Linked DNA regions of Xenopus tropicalis. The protein of the gene in region 2 interacts with the protein of the main gene of each other region in a biochemical or structural test. Links are inferred from orthologs where the notes say so. Each region holds a gene or a part of one and is shown on either strand. Other genes may lie near its edges.

Region 1 (5,567 bases), on a different chromosome or scaffold from region 2:
TTGCATTTATCTCAAGGAAATCATGTTTACAGGCATGTGATCTATTATCCAGAATTTCCAGGACACAGAGTATTTCTGTACTTTGAAGCACCATGCCATAATACCACTTAAATATTTCAATATATAAAAACAGGACTGCCACCCCCTACTCCTAAGTTCAACACCTATCCGACAAGGCTAATCTAATGCTGACATAAAATTCTATCCCTTCTATATACAACTGGTTAGGGATGCACTTAATCCAGAATTCGGATCGGTCTTCAGCAGGATTCGGACTCGGGCGAATCCTAAAAATCACGCAACTTTTTGTCACAAACACGGAAGTTGAAAATGTAACCCTGCCAAAACCTAATTGGCATACGCTAATTAGGATTTGGTTCGGTATTCGGCCGAATCCTTTAAGAAGTATTCGGGGTTTGGCCGAATCCAAAGAAGTGGATTTGGTGCATCCCTACAACTGGTACACTAGGGAGTGGCAAAAGTGCCTTATGTATATCAATGAGACACAAGAACACCAGGGTTACATTTCTTGTTGTATTTTATTTTTAATTTTCTTCTGTATTTAAGATTATTGTAAAATGAATTGTAAATCTTGTACATCTGTTGTTCATCCTCTTGTAACATGTTCTTTTCGATTGTTAAATTTGATGCTTAAAAAAAAACAGTACTGCATTATGAATGCTTTTCAGAAGGCATGGTTTAGTCTACATTACTCTCCAAAGGGGATCTAAATCCCAAAAAATAATTTGATGTAAATTTACTCAGCAAGTTAGGTTGAAATAAGACATACGTCCATCACATTCAACCATCACGTTGGTCTGGCTATCCTTTTGTAGTTTACATTAAATTTCTATATTTAGTAGTTTCTGAGATATTAGAAGTTTTATACTGCTAATACCAGGCTCAACAACAGCAATCTTTGAAGGTCAGATTGTCAGTAGTTCCAGCTGTCTTTTTTATGCTCTTTCAATATAGTCAATGCTAGGGTTGCTGACCAAAAGTTTGGTGTTAGTGGTCTAAAACCTAGGATATCCGGAAAAACACTAAAAAACAGAGGAGCACACTTTAATTTTTTGGGTTTAGATCTCCTTTAACCCATTTTTCCCTTTTGCAGTGTTATTATATGTATCATACTATCATGTGTGTCTCCTTTGCCCGTAATAGGTGAAACAATCTCTTCTGTCATCTAAACATCAAAATCTTCTCTCCTAGAATGCAACGCTGCTATTCATAAAAAATGCATAGAAATGATCATTGGCAGATGTACAGGTACTGCTGCCAACAGCCGGGACACCATGGTGAGTGCCCCCTTTTTCCTCCCCCCCAGTTTGTAATCACACTTCGTAATCTGCTTGTGGTCCCAGAAAGGTAAAACCAAATCTGCTTCTGTCTCTTCTTTGCAGTTCCAGAAAGAACGCTTCAACATTGATATGCCACACAGATTTAAAGTTTATAACTACAAGAGCCCCACATTCTGCGATCACTGTGGCAGCCTGCTCTGGGGCCTGGTGAAACAAGGGTTAAAATGTGATGGTGAGCTCCTGTCAAACTGTTGGTTGTTGGTAGCTGAACATTTACTTTTCACGTGGGTTAATTATATGAAGCTGATGTCTTACTGTTGAAGCAAAGGGTTCTGGGTAGTTATCCAAAAGCAGACACCCATACCATAGTAATGTATATTGAAATAATTTTTGCTCACTTATTGCAAAACTTGCTCTCCATCCCCATGCAAGTTTTTATGGAGTGTTATTCCCTGACCTGATGTTATTACACTTTATTATTATAGTAGCTACAGTATATAAGTTGTTATTATTATTATAATAGTTACAGTTGATCTGAGGGGAGAGTGCCCGGCCCTTATTATTAAGCAGCTCCTCTTCCCTTGGTCTGGCTATGGGCTGCATCTTATGTCTCTTTAGAAAATAAATCTGGCTCAAGGTGTTAACCACAGCCCTGTCGTTACTGCCTGCATCCCCTGCCGCTCACTAACTTGTGCGTCCAAATTACAACTATGTGTCCCTCATGAATATAGTGTTGATGGATGCAATTCTTTAAGAGGCAAGCAAAAAACTGACACACTTTGCACGCTGTCTCAGAGTTCTTATATGACCCCTATAGACTATTAGGTTGGGCCCTGGGAAATACAGAGGCATTCTGTCACTAAAAATGGTTTCATTTCTTTGCTACATTTGTGATTTGTGTTGTTACCAACGTTATTTATTTTGTGTTATTTAGAGTGCGCCATGAATGTGCATCACAAGTGTCAGAACAAAGTGGCAAACTTATGTGGCATAAACCAGAAGCTTTTAGCAGAGGCATTAAATCAAGTCAGTATGGTAAGCACCGTGGGACAAACTTTTTAGTAACAGGATAGAATAGAATAAGGTGCCCGTGAAGCACCAGTAAAATGCTGATGGCCAGAGGCTACTTTCTAAATAAATATAATCTATGGGGGTGTCTCTCTTGTGTCACTATTGGGGCACTGTATTCTGTTTCTCAAAGCCATGGCAGCTGGAGCTCTAGGAAGTAACTCACCTGGAGCAGAGATATCCAAACACTGTCTCTGTCTGAATGTGACTGCCGGCTTTAAATGAACCAATGCACTTTGTATTGATTGCATCTTTTTGTGGTTTTTCTCTAGAAATCTAGTTCTAGAAAATCAGATTCTGGATTGGATAATATTGCCATATATCAAGGTGTGAACCCTAAAACCCCAGGATTGCCTATGCCTGATGCTACAGGTACGACTGGAAAATTACTGCAGTATAACTCACCCTTTGTTGTCAGTGTATTGCACAGTATTGTATGGCGTATAGCACAGCACTTCCTCCTCTGCATATCTGCAAATGTATGTATGTATGTATGTATATCTTTATTTATAAAGCGCTACTTATGTACGCAGCGCTGTACAGTAGAATACATTAATACAAACAGGGTGTTAATAAGATAATAGATAAATACAAAGTATAACAATAAATACAGATAAATACAGCTGCAATAAGTTAAGAGTCGAGGACACAAGAGGAAGGAGGTCCCTGCCCCGTAGAGCTTACAATCTATATGGGAGGGTAACTAACAGACACAAATAGGCAAATATAAGTGCTGTAGGTCACAGTGGGTGACACTACAATATAAGTGCCACTAATGAGAGTATCACAGGATATCACACGAACATGGCAGCAATTTATGTTAGAGACAACTTCTGCTAAAGCCAGCAGTATGGCAGCATCCAATCCCAACTATAAATGCAAACATGTAGAGATTGGGTTTTTGTGCATTTACTGAACATATAAGGGTAAAAAGTTTCCTCATTAAAAGAGGTAGATCACATTTAAAGTGATACTGACACAGAAAAAATACTTTTCAAAATATTAATGTATGGATAGGTTACTTGATGTTTATAAACCTGACAGTTTTGCCAACCCGACTGTCCCTTCTCAGGCTGTCAGTTACAGCTTCTAATGCTAACAGACTCCTGCTGCACAAATATGGCCGCCCCCTCATAGGGGAACATGGGGATCAGATAGGTAAAAGCATCAGGAAGTACTTTTATGGCAAAATAATAAAGTTCATTCAAAGACAATGTTATGTTATATTTAACAACAAGTTAGCTGTTAGTATGTTATAGAATATACTATATTATTTATAGTATTTGAATGAATTCTTTGCCTTCCTATTCTACTTCTTTCCAGCTTTTATATGGCCCGACATCCAAAACCAATTGCTCTGTGAGGCTACAGTTTTATAGTATTACTTTCGATTAGTTATGTTTCTTTTCAGCGCCTCTCCTATTTATCTTCCTGTCTCTCATTCATACCGCTGCTTGGTTACTAGGGTAATTGGACCCTAGCAACCAGATAGCTGCTGAAATTCCATACTGTAGAGCTGCTAAACAAAAACTTAATTCAAAAACCTCATAAAATAAAAAAATAAATAAGACTCTATATCACTCCAATATGACTCCATTATATTAAAATGTGTTTAAAGGTGAACTACCCCTTTTAAGCCTTTTGGAAATTGATATACACAATACTGGAGAAACATTCTGGCCATGGAATTAGCTCTTGAGCTTCCGGCCCTGCAGCAATTAAGTAGTCGTCAGTTGAGAATATCCTTTAGCTGCGTCTTACTAAAACCCGTTTCTCCCTGTAGATAACCAGTATGATAGACTTTGGGAGGGAAGCAGCCCGCATCCTCACATCAGCCTGAGCAGCCGTTTGAAGATTGATAATTTCGTCTTTCACAAGGTGCTCGGTAAAGGCAGCTTTGGTAAGGTAGGTAACCCCGGCCTCTTCAGCCCTGCCTCATTCTTCTCTTCTATAGCCTGCATGCAGCCTTACCTCTCTCCTCTTGCAGGTGCTGCTGGCAGAATTAAAAGGCAAGGGGGAATATTTTGCCATAAAAGCCTTGAAGAAGGATGTGGTGCTGATTGATGATGATGTTGAGTGCACCATGGTGGAAAAGCGAGTGCTAGCATTGGCCTGGGAAAATCCTTTCCTCACCCACATCTACTGCTCCTTCCAGACCAAGGTACCAGCCTGAGCAGAAATGGTGCCTTTTGCATACATTTCAAAACACATCAGTTAATAGAGCTTCTCCAGCAGAATCCTGCATTGTAATCTGTTTTTGAAAAACACAAACAGATTTTTTTATATTTCATTTTGTAATTTCACATGGGGCTAGCCATATTCTTCATTTCCCAGGGTGCTACAGTCATGTGACTTGTGATAAACTTCAGTCACACTTTACTGTTGAGCTGCAAGTTGGAGCGATCCCCCCCCCCCCCCCAGCAGCTGATCAGCAGAGCAATGGGAAGGGAGCAAGATAGCAGCTCCCAGTAGATATCAGAATTGCACTCAATAGTAAGAAATCCAAGTCTGACTTGGGACTCCCCCAGTTACATAGGAGTAGGAGAAACAATAGGTTAGCTGAAAGCAGTTCTAATGTGTAGCGCTGGCTCCTTCTGAAAGCTCAGACTCAGGCACAATGCACTGAGATGGAGGTGTGCTGAAACAAGAAACCACACAGTATAAACTAGAATATAAAATGTAACCACACAATAAGCACTAGTACAGAATGAGTTACTAACAAAACAGGGGGCCAGGGAATGCATTGGTCAGTTCTCCTATGTACAGTGAAGCAAATTCAGCCAGGCCGGTCACATGTCTATTATACGTTACTTTTACCATAATTAGCCCTGGAGCGCTCCCACAACCCCCTTTTTTTCTTCAAATAAGGAAATAGAGACCAACGACCTAAAATTAGAGTTAAAAATGCTGCAGCGCTATGGGAAATAGTGAGATTCTCTTTCCTGCAAATAACATCAATTTCAGGCCATTATGAATAAGACTTAGCATTGTGCTGTGTTTCCTGTATAGTTTGCACTTCCTTCTTTGTTATTTAAACTGGGCTCAAATGTTAAAACTGAGCAATCTGCCATTTGGGTCAGGAAAGAATGTTTCCCTACAAGATCTGACAGTTGCCTCATTTGGGGTTGTTTGTTTTGCTCTGAATATTCTTTGTAGAGTGGTTTAAGGGCTGTGGCCCACAGGGAGATTAGTTGGCTG
Region 2 (6,178 bases):
CTTTGTTGCTTTTGTTGGACTCTTTCTAATTCTATCCTTATTGACCTTTGCAGCTGCTGAGTGGGATTGCATGCTACAGCCATGTTTATTGTCCACAAGTGCATCTTGGAGTACTCTTTATCAAAGATTTGCCTAACGTATTTTCATAAAGGGTATAAGTGGCTTGCATATTCTTACATCCCTGTTGCATAACCTTACATTAATCTCATCTGTCACTTAGCTGTCAGTGCCAGTTTGTTCAGATCCTCTTGCAAAGATGCAACATCCTGTATGGAATTTATTGACCTGCACAGTTTTGTGTCATCTGCAAGCACCTATATATTACTGCTAATGCCCACCCCCCCCCAAAAACATTATTATTATAACATATATAAAGCCCCTCAAACATTATAAGTGCCAACATATTCCGTTGTGCTGTACAATAAATGGGTATATACATTCAACATACATGAATCATCTCTACTAATGATACATAATTAACAAACAGGGTGAATATTTTGCAGAAGCCACAGTCAGCCATATATTATGGGGTCTGTACATACCACATACTTAGGTAAATATATGCATATTGGGCAACAAACTCATATTTATGATCTTTGTACATAAGGAACTGTAGGAGAAATATGGTTTACAGGGGTCTGCATACTAGGGGGCATATATGACACATAAAAGACCCCTGGTATTCATATTAATATGTCTAATCTTAGGGGCAGATTTACTAATGCACGAATCCGAATGGGAAAAAAATGGATTGGAAACGAACATTTTGCCACTTTTTCGTACTTTTTGCGATTTTTTTCGTCGCCGTCGCAACTTTTTTTGTGAATTGTCGCGACTTTTTTGTAGCCATTACGACTTTCGCGAATTGTCACGACTTTTTCATATTGAGCGGCGCGACGGCGACAAAAAAGTTGCGACAATTCACGAAAAAATCGTGACGGTGACGAAAATGTTGCGATAATTCGCGAAAAAAGTCACAACGACGTTGAAAAAAATCAAAGATCAGATCATTACGAAAAATCGCATTCGGACGCTTTCGGCCCGTTTGTGTATTAGTAAATGTGCCCCCTAGTATACAAGGCTGGTGGCAAACGGGGAGATTAGATGCATGCAATAAATCTTCGCTACCGCAGGTGCCTAATCTCCCCCAAAGTGTCTTCCTGTCAGCAAGAATGTGAATTGCTGGTGGCATGGCATACACATAGCTTCGGTTTTCCAAAGTCGCCCATAGTTTCCTCATGAGGTAATGCATGTGCCATCGCCCGTGGTAGTAAAGATTTATCTAATCTTCCCGTGTGCCAGCAGCATAAGGATATGTGACTGATAAGTTACTGCAAAATGGAAGGTGGTTTTTAAAAATGTTATCAAAGCTTTAATGTTTGGAGTAAAAAGATATAGAATTCATTTTAGATTTGGGAGAATGATTTTTGCACCTAGTGAGAATGTCTTTTGAGACTTTTATGTGAGAATATTTTTTCACCACACATAAAAGTCAGTAAATGTCTTGATTTTGCAGTAGTTATAATGACTGCAATATTTTTTATTTTGGGGCATATATTGATACCTATATGGTAAATACAGCTCTTTTTATGATGTACATTTATTGAGTAGATCAAAATAAGTAAATGTATAAATATCATATACATATATATATGTAGGGACCCATAGGGTTAAGCTCCCTATGGCTTTATCCTCTACCTCTTCACACCTCTATTGTTATTGGGCAGAGCCCCTGTACTTAAGTTACTGTTCTAACACTATTCCCTATAGATTTAGTCAGGTTGACCACTCCCCCTGCAGACTGAAATAGCGTCTAGCAGGGAGGAGTGGCTTCCTCTTTGGCTGCCTGTCTGCTACCTAAGCACAGCTCCTTCTGAGCCTGGGTGCTGCAACAGGCCCCAGTAAGCCACCTTAGTCCAAAGAACACCTTACTAATTGTATAAGTCAGGGACAGGGCCCTGTGAATGAGGATAAGTAAGCACAGCAGATTTATTTAATAGCACTCTCTAGTAGAAGTGAGCATAGTCAGCTCTAGCTAGAAAGGGCCATTAGCCTACCAAAGGAATGATTAGATCCAGGAGTATTTCTCCTATCCGGCAATGTTGTCTCAGTGCAGGGCTCTAGGAGGACTCAATCCACTAGAGGTTATCAACCTGAAGGAGTTCCTACTACTTGCACTATCTCTCAAGGGGTACTGGTTGAAAGGTGTATATCCCGGCCCAGACTCTACCAAGAGGTGGGGTAAACCGGTGTACACTCTCTCTTCTACAAAAGAGAAATCCCTCATTGTACCATTTCAATCTGCATGTCTGTGAGTATGATAACCCTGCATAACATCTGTGTCTTTGACCAATAAATCTGTATTATAGTTCACCAGCAAGAACCTTTCTGCGTCCATTTATACCATCTACACTACACAGCATCAGAAAGTTGTAGTTCAACTACACCCTCAGCTCCTATCTTACATCTCCCACATAGCAGAGGCCCATGCCGAAGAATTAAGGGTCACATGTAACACATGCTCTATATTACACTACAAGCCTGGGTTGGCCTAATCTAAGACAAAATAGTGTTACATATAATACATATAAGAAGAAAAGTTCTGAAAAAGTAAACTGTAAAAAGTAGCCTGTTTGCTACAGCAAGATTAAATGTGCACAAATTAATCGTTTCGGTGCCCTTTAAGAAGTGTCCGCATCAAAGCAGAGGGAGGCAATCCAACTTAAAGTAACAGCCAGCAAACAATTTTATGATTTGCTGAAGTCAAGATTTAGAGGCGGGGATAGCTTGCAGTCTAGGAAGTAAGGGCTGTACCCTCATTTCTTCTTTCGGTTTTGTGTGTGTGAGTTGGTGATTCTAGAGGTATCCGGAATCAAAGTAAATTTCAAGACGTTTTATTTTGCTTTCTTGAGCTTATTATACAGGACGGCGTCAGGTACGTTGAAAGAGAGACATTTTACTCCACTGTACGGCGCCCATTTTAGGACATCATCGGTATAAACGCTTCTGCTAATGATTCTGTTTTTATAACTGTGCCTGTCTGGGCAACCCCATTGCTCTTTTGGTCTATTATATACTCATCACTATACTGCAGCATATATTATATAATTTTCGTAATTGTGTGCATCATTCTGCCTCTGCTAACATTTGCCCAGTTTTGATTAATAAGCCGACTGGATCATTCTGTATTTGGTCTACTTGGTTATAAACTCCAGTGTGCACAGCCCATGTTTAATCTGCTTTATGCTGAGTAATCCTGCCCATTTGTGAATCCTTGTGTACAGCTGGTGTATCACTTACCACAGTGACTTTTGTTTTTTGGAAACCCCTATTTTAATTTACATTGGTTTGTGAGCACTCTAAAGGCTGTCATGTACTGTTAAGTTGAGCTGCAAATCTGCACTGCTATTGTTTAATATTTGCCACTACTTAGCCAAGCAAATTTTATTTGCACAATTCATCTAAAAAAAAAAATCTACACAACATGTCTGTGGGTTTAATTAACTTGAATGTATTCCAATACCACTGGGTGACAAATTTATCCTGTATTTTTCAGTCTCAACTCTGATCTCTGAGTTTTTTGACAGACATTTCTATTTGAATATAAGACAGAATAACCCTTTTTCCCAGTGCAAACTTTAGAACACCCTAGAAATAACAAGCGCTCTAATGGCCTATTGCCTTAGGGTTGTCTTTGATTTTACCCTCTCCTTCAGTTGTCATATCCAATTAATAACTAAATCATGTCATGTTCACTTACAGAATAAAATATCGCTATCAAAAATGATGCCAGCATGACCATTCCTGCCATAAGACGGGAGTGTGCAACAGTTTACCAGGGGTGGCAAAAGAAGGCCCCTAACAATTAATTTTTAAATTCAGCTCTTCTAGTGCAAATAGACCGTTCCACTCCCTGTATTAGAGATACTGCTCCTCATAAATTAAGAATATATATTATTTTACAATTTAAAGTTTATAGCTGTTCATTTATTACCTACGAATATTCTATTTACTGGCAATGATTGCCCTATTTTATGATTTCATTTGACACGTGTAAGAACCAAACCTATTGTAATTTATGCATCTGTTCTTAGCTTGTTGTATAAACTGTTATTGGTGTATGTGAAGCAGTTGCACTGTAAAAATACATTGAATAGTCGGGTTTCCCCAGAGAACACGGTTTCCAGAAGGGCTGTCTGGGCCAAAACTCTCTGCCCGGTTTTCCTAATTTGGTAAACTGGGCAGGACTTTCCTAGATTAACATGGACCTGTATGTGCTGAAAAACGAACCCTCGGCTTATACTCGAGTATAAGGATTCGAGGCTGAACAAGTTTGTTTTACGGGGCACCCCTCTTCCCTCCCCGCGGCTGGACAGAGGGCTGGACGGGCGTGCGTGCACGAACCAACGCACGCATGCATGTGCACACAACAATATTTTGGGCATGTACAAATGCGTACGCAGAAAGGGTGTTGGGTGATAAGGAGAGAAACAAAGGAAGGGGGCACAGATAAGAAGGCAATCTGGGAACTACAAATCCCAGATTTATTAAATTATACATTACCCTATATCACTACCACCTGCTCTATGGCTGCTAGCTAAGTAAAGTCAAAAGGATAAATCACCATTGTGGTCATTTGGAGCATGTTGGGAATTGTAGTTCTTTGTACAATAATATTACAATGAGTGCATCACTATATACAGATTCTGTACATGAGCCGTTTATTTATCTGGATGTCAGCTGACCCCCTCGGATCACTGTTGTGCCCTACAGAGAGTGTTCTGAATGTTCTGGTTGGGCCTTGGCCGGTACGCATTGCACTATGGGAGTGCATGGGAATTATGGGAAACAACCTTGTGCAGATATGGAAAGCTCAGTCAGTGGGTCCCTAGGCAGGTATTGTATACTTACAGGCCTGGACTGGCAATCTCTGGGTTCTGGCAAATGCCAGAGGGGCTGATGTAAGATGCCACAGACAGTCACTATTTATTGGGCTGGGGGGCTTTTTGGGCCCCTGTGTACTTGAAATGCCAGGGCCTATTTCGAATCCCAGTCCAGGCCTGCCTACCTACCTGCTACTGGTGGCCTATACTAGCTTGTTTGCCGGTGGCTACTGACAATAAAATATAAGGAAGAGACACGACTTTTCCCTTTGCTAATGGAGTTCTTGAAGCTGGAAACGGAACCTTTATATTATACGCCATGGCGCAGGCTTCTAGGGGGCAGAACAAGATGGTGGAATGTATTGTTGACTTTTTAGCGGTAAATATCCAGGGTGCCTACCCCAGAGTTACTAGGGTTGGTTCACCAATGAGTGTCCAGGGTGTCCAGGGCCTACCTAGGCTTATACTCGAGTCAATAAGTTTTTCCAGTTTTCTTAGGTAAAATTAGGTAATTAAAATGGAGGGTATGGGAGACGGGCTTTCTGTAATTCGGAGCTTTCTGGATAACTGGTTTCCGGATAAGGGATTCCATACCTGTAATTGGATAGAGAACTGACTGAAGGATAGATTGCAGAGAGTGCTGTTAAATTGAACATTTTCCAATTGGACCAGTGTTGTTAGTGGAGTACCGCAGGGGTCTGTCTTTGGTCTTTGCTTTTTAACTTGTTTAATAATAACCTGGAGGTGTGTATTACTACTATACTACGTATTATATATTTTATTATGATACTAAATTGTGCAAAACTATAAGTTTCATGCAGGCTGCTGCCATGTTTTTCCTAACAGGAAGAACATCAGATCAGCCCTCTCTTCTTTCTTTTTTTTTTTTTTTTAAAGGTTGATTTTTATTGTTTTTTTAACAACAATAGAATAGGGTAGAAAAGGAGAGGGAAGAAAGGAAAGGAAGAGATTGGAGAGTAAACAGTCATTGTACTGTTGTGGCTGGTGAGTCTGTCCAAGGAGACCAAATGTTCTCAAATTTCGCCGGACAACCTCTAACGAGGTAGGTAAGTTTATACAGTTTTAATTGCGGAGCGATGGGGGTGTCCGGCCCATCCAGCTCAGAGCGATGGTTCTTTTGGCATAAAAAAGTAGTAGTCTCATAGTAGTAGTAGCTTTGTATTCCTTCTAGGTATCGGAGTGTCCAGGAGGCCCAGTATACAGGTAGCCGGGTTGAGTACTGGTTGAGTTCCAGTTCTGTTCCCATAAATTCTGTGACCTTGCCCCAGAATTTT
Region 3 (5,567 bases), on a different chromosome or scaffold from region 2:
TCAGAGGAAGCCCCGTGTACCCCCTCCCCTGACAAAATGATATCTAGAATATACCAGAACTTGCAACTAGGGATAAACCGAACCCTCGAATCCATCCGAAGGGATTCGGCCGAATACCGAACCAAATCGGAATTCTAATTAGCATATGTTAGTTAGGATCCGGAAGGGGTAAAAAAAAAATTTCCCTAACATTTAACCCTTCCAAATCCTAATTAGCATATGCTCATTCATGCTAATTCAGATTCAGTTTGGCCAGGACCGTGGATTTAGCTGAACCCTAATCCTGGCCAAATACCGAACCGAATCCTGGATTCAGTGTATCCCTACTTGCAACTACCCGGACCCAAAGACTAAGCAAAGACTGGCAAGACCCTGCTAGAGACAAATTAGTGCAATACAAACCTATAGATAACCCCTGCCAGATTTATATAAATGGGGCGCTCTTCTGACGACAGTTGCTCTAGATGCGGGGGCTTAATTTTTCCACATGATTTCGAAATGTCCCCACATTCACTCTTTTTGGACCCAAATATTCGACTTCCTGGCCTAAAACCTAGAATTACCTAGAATATTGGCACCCATATTTGTCTCCTTGGGATACCGCGAGCCCACGTGTGTTTGCGCAACTGTGTACTCCCCCTTCATGCAAAAAAAAAACAAAAAACAATTGCCGTGCATTGGATGGGTACATCCCTCCCCTCCATTAGAACTTACAGATAGGATATCAGAGGGCAACTAACAAATCTGACAAAGTCTGGGGACCTTGGTGCAATGTACTTCAAACACATTCCAACCACTGGGTGCCTGAAACCAACCTTTTTACATTACTGACTAACCCCCACAAAAAAGAAACAAACAATGCTACAAATTGCTAATCACATACTGACTTGATTCCTTGGTTTAAACCACGAATGTCATTTTCTTCTCTTCCCTAACAGGCAGTCTGGGCTCTAGGGAACATTGCCGGAGACAGCACCGTGTGTCGGGATTATGTGTTGGACTGCAATATTCTGCCTCCGCTTTTACAGTTAGTACCTAGAACTTTGGGGTGTTTTATGATTTTTTCCCTGTGTTTTTAAGTAGCTGTACTTGTTATGTATGAAGATATAGTAGAAAAGATGTTTAGAATTGACTATAGGGGCAGGGTGCTGAGCAGAGGTTAGGGTTACATTGGGTGGGAAATACATATTGAATGTTTAGAGCTCATGGACTTGGGATGTGGTTATTACTGTCAACATGGAGTCCATATTTACTCCGTTATATTCTTGTATTATTTTTCAGATTACTGTCCAAGCAGAACCGTCTTACAATGACTCGAAATGCAGTGTGGGCACTGTCTAACCTTTGTAGAGGGAAGAATCCACCCCCTGAATTCGCCAAGGTAACAGTGAGGCAGTTGGATTTCAGTGTTATTGCTAAATGGGCTTTAGCGTGCTGGCACTGGGCAGATAAACACATGGTTATTGTACCCACAGCATCAGTTCATGCTTTTTGTAACCAGCCTTCTCTTTAGTAACCTTGTTATATCCAGTCTATTTTTTGACCAGCAGTTTCAATGTATGCAGTTATTTCATTGGCCAGAAGCCCTGGAGAGCGAAAGAGCTCAATCCGAATACACCCACAGTTGATGTGCCAAGGTCTGCTTGAACCCACCCAACCCGTGGGTATCGGGCCGGCCTGCACATAACTAATATATAGGCCTTTCATTTGCTTGGCAGCATCAGCAACTTTCTTTTCCCATCTTTTAACTGGTCAGTAATCTTCCCTTGCATATCATATGCCTATTCCCAGGGGCCCCATTAGCACTGGCATCTTGTGTTTATTGACACTGGAAGCAGAACCAAAATACGTAGAGCTCCTCTCCTTCCACTTACCCATAGGTGGCCCTCCTGCACTTCCACCTTAGGGGCTGATGGAAGTCAGGGGGCCAGCATATGTCTATCAAATGGACAAAATACCATCACTTGCTTTTTATCTCTTGTCCTTTATTGGCCAGTGGTATTACTGGCGGCTGCTGCTTCTGCATCATTATCACACTGGTATCATAACACTTTAGGTGAGTTATTTGCTGAAGATGCCATATTGTCTTCCTCCCCAGGTTTCCCCATGCCTCACTGTCCTGTCCTGGCTTCTCTTTGTCAACGACACTGATGTACTTGCCGATGCCTGCTGGGCGCTGTCCTATCTGTCAGATGGGCCGAACGATAAGATCCAGGCCGTGATCGATGCAGGCGTGTGTAGAAGATTAGTGGAACTACTAATGTGAGCCACTGTTTGTACTTGACTTCATGAAATGCAGAACTTTAGTATCTTCCTTTATTTTGTTTTTGGGACATGGCTGGATAAACTGCTTTGGATACATATAAACAGTCAAATAATACCTAAACCAACTCCATGTATTAATCTCAATTGGGCAGTTTAGACAAGCTGTCTAATTGGGTGGCACTGAGTCCAGACAGCAGTTTTAAGGTGCCCATAGATCCTTTAGATCGATTCAGCAGCTTATCTGCCCGTGTATGGGCACGAACGACAGGCCTGCCCAACTGACATCTGGCCTAAAATTGGGCAGATCTTAATCGGGCAGGTTGACTTTTCCGTCGCATTGGGGGGCTGCATCGTCTCTTTGATACGGTCCCTGAACTGGCAGCGACTATTCCCGCCATTCTGATTCCATCGTCTGGCCCCAGGGCCAAATGAGTGAATTAGCCCTATATCGCCCACACATAGGTGGGGATATTGGGAGAAGATCCGCTCCTTTACCGCGTATGGCCACCTTTAATCTGCTGCCCCAGGGGATTCTAGGTTGAAGGAGTTTGATATTTCTCTTTAAGAAAGTTCTTTTTATTTATTTTCTTTTTTTTTTTGGAATTTTTCAGGCACAATGATTACAAAGTGGTGTCTCCTGCCCTGCGGGCTGTTGGCAACATAGTGACTGGGGATGACATCCAGACACAAGTAAGTGTTAGTGTAAGGAATTGTGTCTTGATTAGCTGATGCTGATTCTGTACCGTAGCCGATAAGCAATACAATTTTAGTTCTTTTATATTTTGTTCAGCAGCTCTATAGTTTATAATTTTAGCAGTTATATGGTTGCTAGGATCCAGATTACCTTAGCAACCAGGCAGTGGTTTGAATAACAGACTGGTATATGAATAGGAGATAACCTGAACAGAAAAACAAGTAATAATAGGTAATAATAACAATAAAACTGGAGCCTCACAGAGCAGTAGTTGTAGGCTGCTGGGGTCAGTGACCCCCATTTGAAAGCTGCAAAATGTCAGCAGAAGAAGGGGAATAATTAAAAAAACCTTAAATAATAAATAATGGAGACCAAGTGATAAGTTGCTTAGAATTGGCAGTTCTATAACTAGAATAGGAACCACCCCTTTTAATAGTGTAATTTGTGAAAGTCTAATGTAATTTTTTTTTTTTTTTTTACCCCATAGGTGATTCTAAACTGCTCGGCCCTACAGAGTTTGCTGCATCTGTTGAGTAGCCCCAAGGAATCTATAAAGAAGGAGGCATGTTGGACGATATCAAACATCACAGCCGGGAACAGAGTTCAGATACAGGTAATTCAGCCTCTTATTTGCAAACGTAAAGGTAAAATGGCCGCCCCGTGTTGCGCGAAGCCCATAGTTATACCGAATTCTGGTAACATTTGTAACTGCTCTCTATGGCTTTTCACCACATCCAAAATGTATGGATTTGGTGCATCCGTACTTAAGCTGGCCATACACGCACCGATAACATTGTACAAAACGCAGGTTTGTACAATTTTCTGCCTGGTTGCTAGGGTAGTTAAGCCATAGTAATTAAAAAATTTGAAAAAAAAAGTTAAAAAAAACAAAAGCAAAATGACTTCTGTTGTCTCCATCGTACCAAAAGTTAATTTTAAGGTGATCGATCCCTTTATCCCATTACATCCCATTTGCCAGTAATAAGTAGTTGAGCAGATGCAGCAGATTTTGCCTGAGCTCTCTCTTGTTCTGCGTTGCTCAGACAGTGATTGAGGCCAACATCTTTCCAGCTCTGATAAACATTCTGCAGACGGCAGAATTCAGGACAAGAAAAGAGGCTGCGTGGGCTATCACAAACGCAACATCCGGGGGCTCCGCAGAACAGATCAGGTATGTCCTGTCAGCCTTTGTTTGCAATTGGTCACATTAAAGTGTAAGTACCAGGACACACAGAGCCTTAGCCTTGATACGAGAGGATATCAGTGAGCCGTATAGTATATAGTGCAGTTTGATTTCTCTACCAGGGTCTCTAAGCCTCTGCTACACAGTTGACCACCCAGTGCTGTGCCCTTGAAAATGAAATGTTTGGCTGAAATACTAATGCAAATCATGATATTTATGGGGGACTGTTTATCTCTAAATGACACAGCAAATAATTCTCTCTGCCATTTAACCCTTTTATTCTTCAACCAACAAATGTATTTGTAGCTGTAATATTGGTGTGTAGGCGCCATCTCAGTGCCTTGTGCCTGAGTCTGAGCTTTCAGCCAGCGCTACACATTAGAACTGTTTTCAGCTAACCTATTGTTTCTCCTACTCCCATGTAACTGGAGGAGTCCCAAGCCGGACTTGGATTTCTTACTATTGAGTGCTATTCTGATACCTACTGGGAGCTGCTATCTTGCTCCCTTCCCATTGTTCTGCTGATCGGCTGCTGGGGGTGAGGGGGGGGATATCGCTCCAACTTGCAGCGCAGCTGTAAAGTGTGACTGAAGTATATCAGAGCACAGGTCACATGTTTGATTATAGCTGATACAACTACTTTAAGTGGCAGCAAATGACAGAGGTGGATCATTAGGGCCTGAGAGGTGTCCTGTTTGTCTCTGTATAAACATCGCTTAACCCTTGACTGTCTTCTATACCCTAGGTACCTGGTTGATTTAGGTTGCATCAAACCTCTTTGTGACCTCCTGACTTGCATGGATTCCAAGATCGTACAGGTGGCCCTGAATGGCTTAGAAAACATACTGAGGCTGGGCGAGCAAGAGGCAAAGCGGAACGGGACAGGCATTAACCCTTACTGCGCTCTTATTGAAGAAGCATATGGTGAGTGCCAGCATGTGGGCTGCCCCCGGGGCTACACAGCGGGGTATTTATATAAACTATAGTAGGGTTTCTGTAGCAAACACCCCAGCTGTACCGTTGCAGGAATGGCTGCCCCTGGGGCTACACAGCGGGGTATTTATATAAACTATAGTAGGGTTTCTGTAGCAAACACCCCAGCTGTACCAGTGCAGGAATGGCTGCCCCCGGGGCTACACAGCGGGGTATTTATATAAACTATAGTAGGGTTTCTGTAGCAAACACCCCAGCTGTACCGTTGCAGGAATGGCTGCCCCTGGGGCTACACAGCTGGGTATTTATATAAACTATAGTAGGGTTTCTGTAGCAAACACCCCAGCTGTACCAGTGCAGGAATGGCTGCCCCCGGGGCTACACAGCGGGGTATTTATATAAACTATAGTAGGGTTTCTGTAGCAAACACCCCAGCTGTACCAGTGCAGGAACGGCTGCTCCCGGGGCTACACAGCGGGGTATTTATATAAA

What was found.
Region 1: of the proteins of stat1 (region 2) and prkcd, one has a biochemical effect on the other in vitro, tested with the Homo sapiens proteins (2 studies listed by BioGRID). The link is inferred for Xenopus tropicalis from reciprocal best matches to the Homo sapiens genes STAT1 and PRKCD.
Region 3: the proteins of stat1 (region 2) and kpna1 form a complex in vitro, tested with the Homo sapiens proteins (2 studies listed by BioGRID). The link is inferred for Xenopus tropicalis from reciprocal best matches to the Homo sapiens genes STAT1 and KPNA1.

What each region holds. Positions count from the first base shown.
Region 1 is NC_030680.2:123,766,977-123,772,543, forward strand, and holds part of prkcd (protein kinase C delta type), read left to right. Parts: intron 1-1,212; coding exon 1,213-1,298; intron 1,299-1,403; coding exon 1,404-1,533; intron 1,534-2,235; coding exon 2,236-2,336; intron 2,337-2,641; coding exon 2,642-2,741; intron 2,742-4,152; coding exon 4,153-4,274; intron 4,275-4,356; coding exon 4,357-4,530; intron 4,531-5,567.
Region 2 is NC_030685.2:43,531,419-43,537,596, reverse strand, and holds the start of stat1 (signal transducer and activator of transcription 1-alpha/beta), read left to right. Parts: upstream 1-2,791; 5' UTR 2,792-2,935; intron 2,936-6,178. UniProt on the Homo sapiens protein: Signal transducer and transcription activator that mediates cellular responses to interferons (IFNs), cytokine KITLG/SCF and other cytokines and other growth factors.
Region 3 is NC_030678.2:3,397,261-3,402,827, forward strand, and holds part of kpna1 (importin subunit alpha-5), read left to right. Parts: intron 1-938; coding exon 939-1,027; intron 1,028-1,281; coding exon 1,282-1,381; intron 1,382-2,098; coding exon 2,099-2,262; intron 2,263-2,876; coding exon 2,877-2,955; intron 2,956-3,446; coding exon 3,447-3,572; intron 3,573-4,002; coding exon 4,003-4,130; intron 4,131-4,887; coding exon 4,888-5,066; intron 5,067-5,567. UniProt on the Homo sapiens protein: Functions in nuclear protein import as an adapter protein for nuclear receptor KPNB1. Binds specifically and directly to substrates containing either a simple or bipartite NLS motif.